2 separate regions of the Mus musculus genome follow, and region 1 is reported to be linked to region 2. The links are microRNA targets in miRTarBase. Many come from high-throughput screens and were not tested one by one. Region 2 holds a microRNA gene; the other region holds the end of a gene's coding sequence.
The links. The annotated mature microRNA mmu-miR-448-5p reads GAACAUCCUGCAUAGUGCUGCC and lies in region 2 at 3,096-3,117, shown strand. An mRNA with a match to its seed (bases 2 to 7 or 8) in the 3' UTR can be bound and repressed. Matches are read on the target gene's strand: a 7mer-m8 pairs with bases 2 to 8, a 7mer-A1 pairs with bases 2 to 7 and ends in A, and an 8mer does both.

Region 1: miRTarBase lists Tbr1 as a target of mmu-miR-448-5p. Seed matches in the 3' UTR shown: 7mer-m8 at 1,345-1,351 and 8mer at 1,429-1,436.

The regions. Positions count from the first base shown.
Region 1 is chr2:61,811,521-61,815,922 of GRCm38, forward strand. It overlaps Tbr1 (T-box brain transcription factor 1), which reads left to right. Exons shown (of 6, transcript NM_009322.3): 6 at 63-2,594. The coding sequence ends at 918. Among named protein-coding and RNA genes, the nearest start is that of Tbr1, 9.3 kb to the left of the region's middle.
Region 2 is chrX:147,155,126-147,159,527 of GRCm38, forward strand. It overlaps Mir448 (microRNA 448), which reads left to right and starts at 3,085; the gene lies at 3,085-3,196. The region is part of intron 4 of Htr2c (5-hydroxytryptamine (serotonin) receptor 2C); the gene reads left to right.

The DNA.
Region 1 (4,402 bases), not on the chromosome of region 2:
CTCCAGGACCCCAAAGGGACCTCCGCGCCATCCCTCGGTTCTCTCTGTCTCCCTCCCCCCAGGATCTACACGGGCTGCGACATGGACCGCTTGACCCCGTCGCCCAACGACTCTCCGCGCTCGCAGATCGTGCCCGGCGCCCGCTACGCCATGGCCGGCTCTTTCCTGCAAGACCAGTTCGTGAGCAACTACGCCAAGGCCCGCTTCCACCCGGGCGCCGGCGCGGGTCCCGGGCCGGGCACGGACCGCAGCGTGCCGCACACCAACGGGCTGCTGTCCCCGCAGCAGGCCGAGGACCCGGGCGCGCCGTCGCCGCAGCGCTGGTTCGTCACGCCGGCCAACAACCGGCTGGACTTCGCGGCCTCGGCCTACGACACGGCCACGGACTTCGCCGGCAACGCGGCCACGCTGCTGTCGTATGCGGCCGCGGGCGTGAAGGCGCTGCCCTTGCAGGCCGCGGGCTGCACGGGCCGCCCGCTCGGCTACTACGCCGACCCTTCGGGCTGGGGCGCGCGCAGCCCCCCGCAGTACTGCGGCGCCAAGTCGGGCTCCGTGCTCCCCTGCTGGCCCAACAGCGCCGCGGCCGCCGCGCGCATGGCCGGCGCCAACCCCTATCTGGGCGAGGAGGCCGAGGGCCTGGCGGCCGAGCGCTCGCCGCTGGCGCCCGCCGCCGAGGACGCCAAGCCCAAGGACCTGTCCGACTCCAGCTGGATCGAGACGCCCTCCTCCATCAAATCCATCGACTCCAGCGACTCGGGGATTTACGAGCAGGCCAAGCGGAGGCGGATCTCGCCGGCTGACACGCCGGTGTCTGAGAGCTCGTCCCCGCTCAAGAGCGAGGTGCTGGCCCAGCGGGACTGCGAGAAGAACTGCGCCAAGGACATAGGCGGCTACTATGGCTTCTACTCGCACAGCTAGGCCGCCAGCCCGCTCGCCCGCCCGCCCGTGCCCCCGGCCCCCCAGCTCGGCCCCACGTCCTCCTTCCCAGGCCCGTTCTAGCGCACTCGCTCTTTCACTTGACCCTCGATGACCGTCTGCGGGGATAAGTGCAGGTCTCTCACTATGATTTTAAAACTCTTCTTTTTTCTTTCTTTCTTTCTCTCTACACAGCCTTCTCTGCAGTTAGCGCACCGACCTTGAACCTGGCTGTAAACCTTGTGGTTTTCCAACTTTTCGTCTGTGAGGTTATGATCCTCCCTGTCTTTTTTCCACCCCCTTCTCCTTGCCCCACTCATCCTCTCCTTTCTCTTGGAATGAAACTCTTCAACTTTAGGAGACCTGGGCAATCCTGCCAGGCAGCAGCGATTCCGACCCGCCTTGTCTTGGCCTCCCTATTTAACCATAGGATGTTGACTCTAGAACCTGCACCCACCCAGCGCGTCCTTTCTTATACCCGAGTGGATGGATGGATGGATGGATGGATGGTAGGGATGTTAATACTTTTAGTGGAACAAAGCCTGTGAAATGATTGTATATAGTGTTAATTTATTGTAACGAATGGCTAGTTTTTATTCTCATTGTCAAGGCACAAAACCAGTTCACGCTTAACTTTTTATTCCTTTCCTTTCTTCTCCTTTTCTTTTTCTCCTCTCATTCTTTCTCTTCTCCCACACCCTTTGTTTTCTTGTGAGTTATTAAAGATATTCTAAGAGGCTCTGGAAACACGAAGCACTTCATAGTGGTGGCTTTCTCACTTCTCAGTTCGTTGCATGATGTAACCACTGTGTGCCCTGGTGCACACAATGTAGCTAAGGAGAATCCACCTGAACACCTGTAAAAGCTAGTTGTCTGTTCCTAGGCGAGTCGAGTAAGTGACACGATGCCTGCCAGGCGGACTTAACTGGAGTTCTATGTGTTTCTCCCTTCCTTCTAAATGGAATGGCCCCACATCAGCAATATTATTTTGCCTTATTTGTTTTTCCCCAAAGTGCCAAATCCATTACTGGTCTGTGCAGGTGCCAAATATGCTGATAAACTGTTTCTGACTATCTTTTCAGACCCCACTCCACCTTTATATGCTGTAAATCTTTGTAATGAGTAATCTACTAATGATATAGATGACTGAATTGTTGGTAACTATAGTGTAGTCTAGTGAAGATGAATTGTGTGAGTTGTATATTTTACTGCATTTTAGTTTGAAAAACGATTCCCCCACCACTTAGAGACAGCTGAAATTTGACTTTCTTGGGAAAACACTAGCATTATTGCAAGTAAGACTGATTCCCCCCAAGTCTTGTTATATTTGATAAGGAGCATTAATCCCCCTGGAAATAGATTAGTAGGATTTCTAATGTTGTGTAGCAAACTTATACTTTTTTTGTACTTTAAAATCAATGTGAAATATGCATCATACACAATATTCAATCTAGATTCCAGTCTATGGGGGGATTTGTCCTAATAGGAATTCAGGGTCTAAACGTGGGTATACTTTGGCTCTCCTGTAAATCAAATGTTGTGATTTTTTATATTTGTTTTGTTTTGTCTGTGAATTGAATAATTTATACAAGTACACACTCCACTGAGAATCGTTTTGTTTTCTGCTCGTTTGTATCGTCTGTGTATAACAAGTAAAATAAATCTGGTAAAATGCTAAATATGGTGTTGAGAGCAGTTTACAGTTTGCAAAGAATTATTATAGGTTATGGCTTTTAGGGGTTAAGCAAGACTAGCCCCTCTTCCTAGCTCTGGGCAGTCTGACAGTAGCCACTTCCTACACCCGCTCTTTTATAGTACCACCAGCTATTACTTTTTTCCTATTTATTTACAGTTAGTATAGTTCTCTTTGCTGCTGTATGCCTTTTCTAGGAAAATATATAAACTGTCTTTGTCCCAGCACTCATTCTCTCCGAAGCTGAAATGACAGGACAAGGAGGGTCTGCAGCTGAGCCAAGGATTTCTTTAAAGTTCACACAGTAATTTGTGAGGCATTAGGTTAGAGTAGGGTGCAATATAAGACAAGTCAAGAGACAAACTGTTGCCTGCAGATGCTGAAGATTTGGTTTTACCAAGAGGCCTTGGAGGTGACTGGCGAATCTTTATAAATGCAAACTTGGACGGGCCTTCCTCTCAGAGAGGGAGGTCTCAGGGCATTGTTCCGGGTGAGGTGGAGAAAGACCCACAGAACCAACACAGGGAAAGGTTGTTGTTAAAGAACCGAATTCAAAATTTGCTTTGGAGAGGGGCTGGGGATTGAGGGTGATGCCTGGAGTCACCTCGGTGTCTTCTGTAAGGGGATCCTCGCTTCAGTTGCAGTTTTACCCAGGTCAGGTCCCCACCCTTGAGAGCAAATGGCAATGAGGAATTTCATGAGAAAGTTTGCAAGTCTGTCTTTACCTCATAGAGGCGACTTCTGTACTTTTGTCTCCAAAGAGGGTGATTCCTGAAAGGGACAAGAAAATGGTTCAACCTTCTCCTTTAGTCTCAGTTGGCCTGGAGGTGACAGAATCAAACTCATCAGCACCCAGAGAGTGTCCCGTGTCACCTTTGTGGTGCAACAGATGTAACGAAGCTTCAAAATTGCAATTAAAATGACAAGTCGAGGGGGAGATTTCACCGATTTGCCTTCCCTGGACAATCCCGCCACTAGACGGCGTTCCATGGAGTCTCGTGTGCCATGGAGAGGGAAAAAAATGATGACTGATTTTTTTCCTTTGTTTTTCCTTTCCCCTCTCCTCACCTAAGAAGTAAAGACGACGGGGAAAAAAAGCACCAAACATGGTGTGTGTGTATATGAGTAGGGAGAGGAGTGAGCAGTGTACTCCCGTGACCGTGCACCCGCCCCGGGCTGTGCTCGGAGCCCGCCCGCCCGCTCGCCCGCTCGCCCGCCAGCCCGCTTGGCCTGGCCCAGCAGCAGCAGCACGTGCTGCCCCGGGCCGCGTGCAGGAGCGCGCGCTCGCGGGGGCGTCAGCGCTCCAGGGCGCGTGGCCGCGGGCTGGCCGAGCGCGCGCTCCGACCCCAGACCCGCTCGCGGGAGCGCGCCGTCCCCGAGCGAGCGCCCCCTCCAACCCCCCCCCCCCCCCCCGCCGCCGCCTCCCGGGCCCCGGGTCCAGGCGAGGAGCGAGGCCCGGAGTGGTGTCAAATGCGTAAGCGAAGCCCTTAGCTTCCGAGGAGCGATTTCACAGGAACGGAGCGCCTCGTGCAGCAAAACGCGCCTTAGCTGCTCTTAGCCAGCTTCAAAAACACTGGCGAGGTCGTTTCCCTCGCAGCTCCGCCATCTGCTGTGTGGACTGAGTCAGCGTGAGGGAAAGCTGCAGCCACGCGCTCCTCTCGGGGGCCGCGTGCTTTCCGGGCCCCCTGACGGCACCCAGGCTGGGTGGCTGCGGAGCGAGGGGACCGTGGCTGCGGACGGGCGACTGGGGCCCTGGGGGCGGCCCAGGGCACGCCCCGGGTACCGGGTGGCTTT
Region 2 (4,402 bases):
AAGTATTCTATGAAGTCATTCTTTACTATTGAAGATCTGAAATGATGTGCTTAAATAGAATAATACATAAACAGTTTACATCTTATTAAATAAAATAACAAATACTACAACCAATATTTTATACTTTAAACAACAAGAAATGTTTCTAAATTGAAGTTTATTACTAGATATATTTACAAAAACTAAAGGACAACTACTATTTCACATAGATAAACTATTTGAACTCAAAAATTTTATGCTACTTCCACATGGTATGCCACCTCTCAAATAAAAATCTATGATAAAAGAGCCTTATAGGCATCAAGATGATATTTCACAATTTCTTTTATTAAATGGAAATACTTAAATCCACCCCCATGTTGATTAACTATTTCTAGAAGCATGTTGAAGAAATATGGACACAGACATTTTCGATGGATGATGGGTGGATGTAGCCCGTTAATGGCTGCATAGATGTCTTCAAGATCATGATAGAAAAATCGGGGAAAGAAACCTCTTCCCATTGTGAGGTCTGGTTCAGCAGAATTAGTTCACATTCACACATCCATGTTGTAAATGAGATGTTCAAACCAAGAAACCTTGACAGTCTATTGTAGTGTTATATCAGGAGTTTCCAATACTTTCCATATTCAGTCTTGATAGTAATCTGAAAAGAGTTGAAGATTTCAATACAGAGGCATCCAACACAAAGAAAATATTGAAAACCCAAAGTCTATAGGCTGCTTGGAGACAAAATGACACGTTGTCTATTGTTCTTCCAAGGATCTTGTTTCAAAACGTGGAGGCTAGACTAACTGGCAAACATGAGCTGTTTTGGGTGAGTGAACTGCCACTTGGCCTGACCAGAGTGAGACTGAGACCACTGGTTGAAATGAGGTCACTGTATACTACTTAGTCTATCCTTATTGGCTGAAAGTCTGAGCAAAGATGATGCCAATAATGAGATTAATTGTGACATCATGAGACATAAAAGTACTGGTACCTGGGCTGTTCACTATAACACAGGACACATTTCAGAGTACCCAGGCAGATTATACTTTCCAAAACTTTCCAGTATATCAAATATAAAGAGAAGATTATGGTACCAAAAATGTGTTAGGTTAGAGACAGAATACAGTTGGAAGACATGCTAAGGGGGGTTGGGGTTTAACCAGAGTCAGAATTTCAGAAAGGGCTGTCCATATAAGTACAGCTTCTGCTGGGTCATTACTTAGTGTAGAGGTTTACCTGGAAGAGCAGGAAGGGTTCTTGAAAAGGGTTATTTTACAGGTGTCAGTCTCCACAAAAAAAGCCAAAATCAACAAATTAAGAGAAAAGTCAATCATTGGAGGGGACCCAGTTATTACTAAAATTACATCAAATTAAGAAAAGCATGTAGCATTCTAATACATACTGGAGCCAAGCTGTGTGCATACTATTGACCAAAACATCCTATAGTACCGAGTCAAGTTTAATAGGGCATGTGTCATCATACATATTATATATAATATGAAATTATCATATGTACAACATTCACTTATAAAATATGGATATAATACATACGATGTAACAAACAACACCATACTTTATAGGTGTTTGTTTCTGCCAGTAAAATAAATGTGTATCTAACCTAAACATTCTTCCTACTTTGGCTTATAATGTTTGTTTCAGATATAGATATACTCTGCCTCAAGATGGCTGTAGCTAACAGAAAGTGAGAAATTGTTTAATGTCTGGCAGAAATGAACATGTACTAAAGACATACTTGTATCTCTCTTTCTTATTATCAGCCTCTTAAAACAATGGACCCAAATCAAAGAAGAACATATAGAAACATAAAATTAATGTCACAATTCGTATTCCCTCTCCTACATCATTGACCTATATATGACAAATGTAGCTAAAAATCATCATTATCATATACTTGGGAAGGCACATAATGCAAAGTTTTTGATATGTCCTTATACATATCAAACCACTCTGAAAATAATATATGAATAGAGAAATGGAAATGTTTATCATAATTCCATAGGAATGGCTTGCAGTCTGAGTGGAAGTAGATTAATTTAAAGTCACACCTTTCAGGAGAGTTAGAATTATTCTTGATTATATGTGTTCCCGATAGGAATATCACACTCCAGGAGATAAACACATACCTGTGAGTATAAAGGAAGAAGTAATGGGACTCGGGGTTTTAAAAACGAAGACATAAAGTTGGGTAGATGTGGAATGATGGTTGGACACGGACAGAGAAAAGAGAAGGAGCAGAACATGATTTTAAAAAAGAAGCAATATATATAATTCTCAAAATAATAAAAATTTCAAAGGTGTATAGAAAGCCTTAGAGTTATGGAACTTTCTCATTTGAGCAATTACAGAATGCTTTGTAAAAATTATTTGTAGCTCATAATAAACAACCCAGGTGTGAGTTTCTAGTGGACTTTTAGGGTCACAACTTAGAAATAACACAAAGTCCTCAGGCGTGATACTTGAGTGAGCAGAGCAGGCAGAATTTTCTCAGCTGAAAATTAGATGCTATACTATGCCCTACATAATTAATCCATTCAGGGTTTTCTCATCATATTACAGAACCACAATCTGTGATCTCAGCATGTTGCTTAGGACTACATTTTTGTTAATTAACAAATGGTTAACTTAGTCTGTGCCAGCATTGTTCAAAAATTATGTGCAGTATACTCCTTCAAGTAGTACAAACTGACTGTTCTATAGTGCAAGAAAACTGTGGGCATATTATTTAAAGAAAAAATTAACTGTAGGCAGTTGGGGTTGCCTAAACTTGGAATATTTCTAGAAAGGGTAACTCGTAAAGTGCTATGGAACCTGTATTATGGAGACAATTATTTTAAAGTTCTATAAATGTTGATAGTTCTGACATTTGGAGAATAATTGGTCAAAAGGGTGGATTATTGATTATCAGGTTTTTAGGCCATTCTGATTATCAGTACTCAATGCCATTCCATTCAGAACAGAAGACAAGGTCAGAAGAAGCCTTCGTGTCATCAATTGCACAGAGAAGCATCAACCAATGGCAAGTCCTCCAAAAGAGAAAAGAAGTTCCATGTGCAGCAGTTGTCCTTCCCATGGACGAGGAGGTTGAACATCCTGCATAGTGCTGCCAGGAAATCCCTACTTCATACTAAGAGGGGGCTGGCTGGTTGCATATGTAGGATGTCCCATCTCCTGGCCCACTTCGTCATGACAGATACTGGAAACACCATTCTGCTTGACTGAAGAGCCATAAAGTTTATTCGTGGAAGAAACAAATATGTTCAGTTATATTGTTAGGAAAATATTTTGATGGATATATTTATTAGAGGGTGGAGGCTAACTAAAATACTTTTAGAATACAAGAGGAAGAAGATATACTAGTGGATTTATAAATATCAACAAAGGGGATAGCAAGAGTCTGCAGAAATTCTTATAGACTCACAGGCAGAACTGAATAAATTGTATCACCCTCTCTTTACATGACGCCAGTATAAGAAGATTTGGTAGTTGTACATTTTAATTTAGGAAACTCTAAGGCAGAGTACCTAGAGTAAGAGATAATCTAATCCCTACTTAAAGAAAGAATGTCATTTATAGAGTAGAAGTTAGAAAAGTTAAAAATGGAATACTAAGAAGCCATATGCCTCATATCAGGTGTCCAGCAAGGATTCAGTAATTGTAAATAGGGTAGAAACAATCTAATAGTCAAGAATCCAAGGTACATAGAGCAGATAGGAATGATTGCAAGAGAGAAAGTGGTATGTCCCCCAATATTTTGAAAACATAATTGTTAGATCAAGCACCCAGTCAGATCCAAGGGACATATAATTATATTATATGTAATGATACATATTTACAACTCATTTTCAAGATTAGGCTTGCCTCATGAAATATCTTGTGAAATAAACATTTATTTACTCAACATTTAAATATTACTGTTTTTCAAATGTATTTGTAGTCATGAGTAAATATGTTTGATTTTTCTGTTTCCACATAAAAAGAATAAGAGTATGACTTATATGGGTTAGACATAGATTTTTCCATAAGGTTGATGACTAATTAAAGAGTAAAGGTTAAAAAAATAAATCTTGCATTTATTTTGCAAAGATTTGAGTAAGAAATTTTATGAAATGTGTCACTGAAATGAAGTTTCCCCAGTTTTCTGTTTTTAGTACTTGTTCTTAAATAATTAAGACATCTAGATCATTTTACCTTATATTCAGACAAACTATAATTTATTCTTTCTGAACCTATTGTTGTTTCTAGAAGTTTCAGAATTATTGGCCAATGTCACATAAATACATAAATAATTTTATCTCTAGTTTTCAAACACTAGACAAGTTGCTTAGATACTCATCTCAGTAAAACTTAACAAAATACCAACAGGTATTTGATGGTAGATGACTCAGCATAA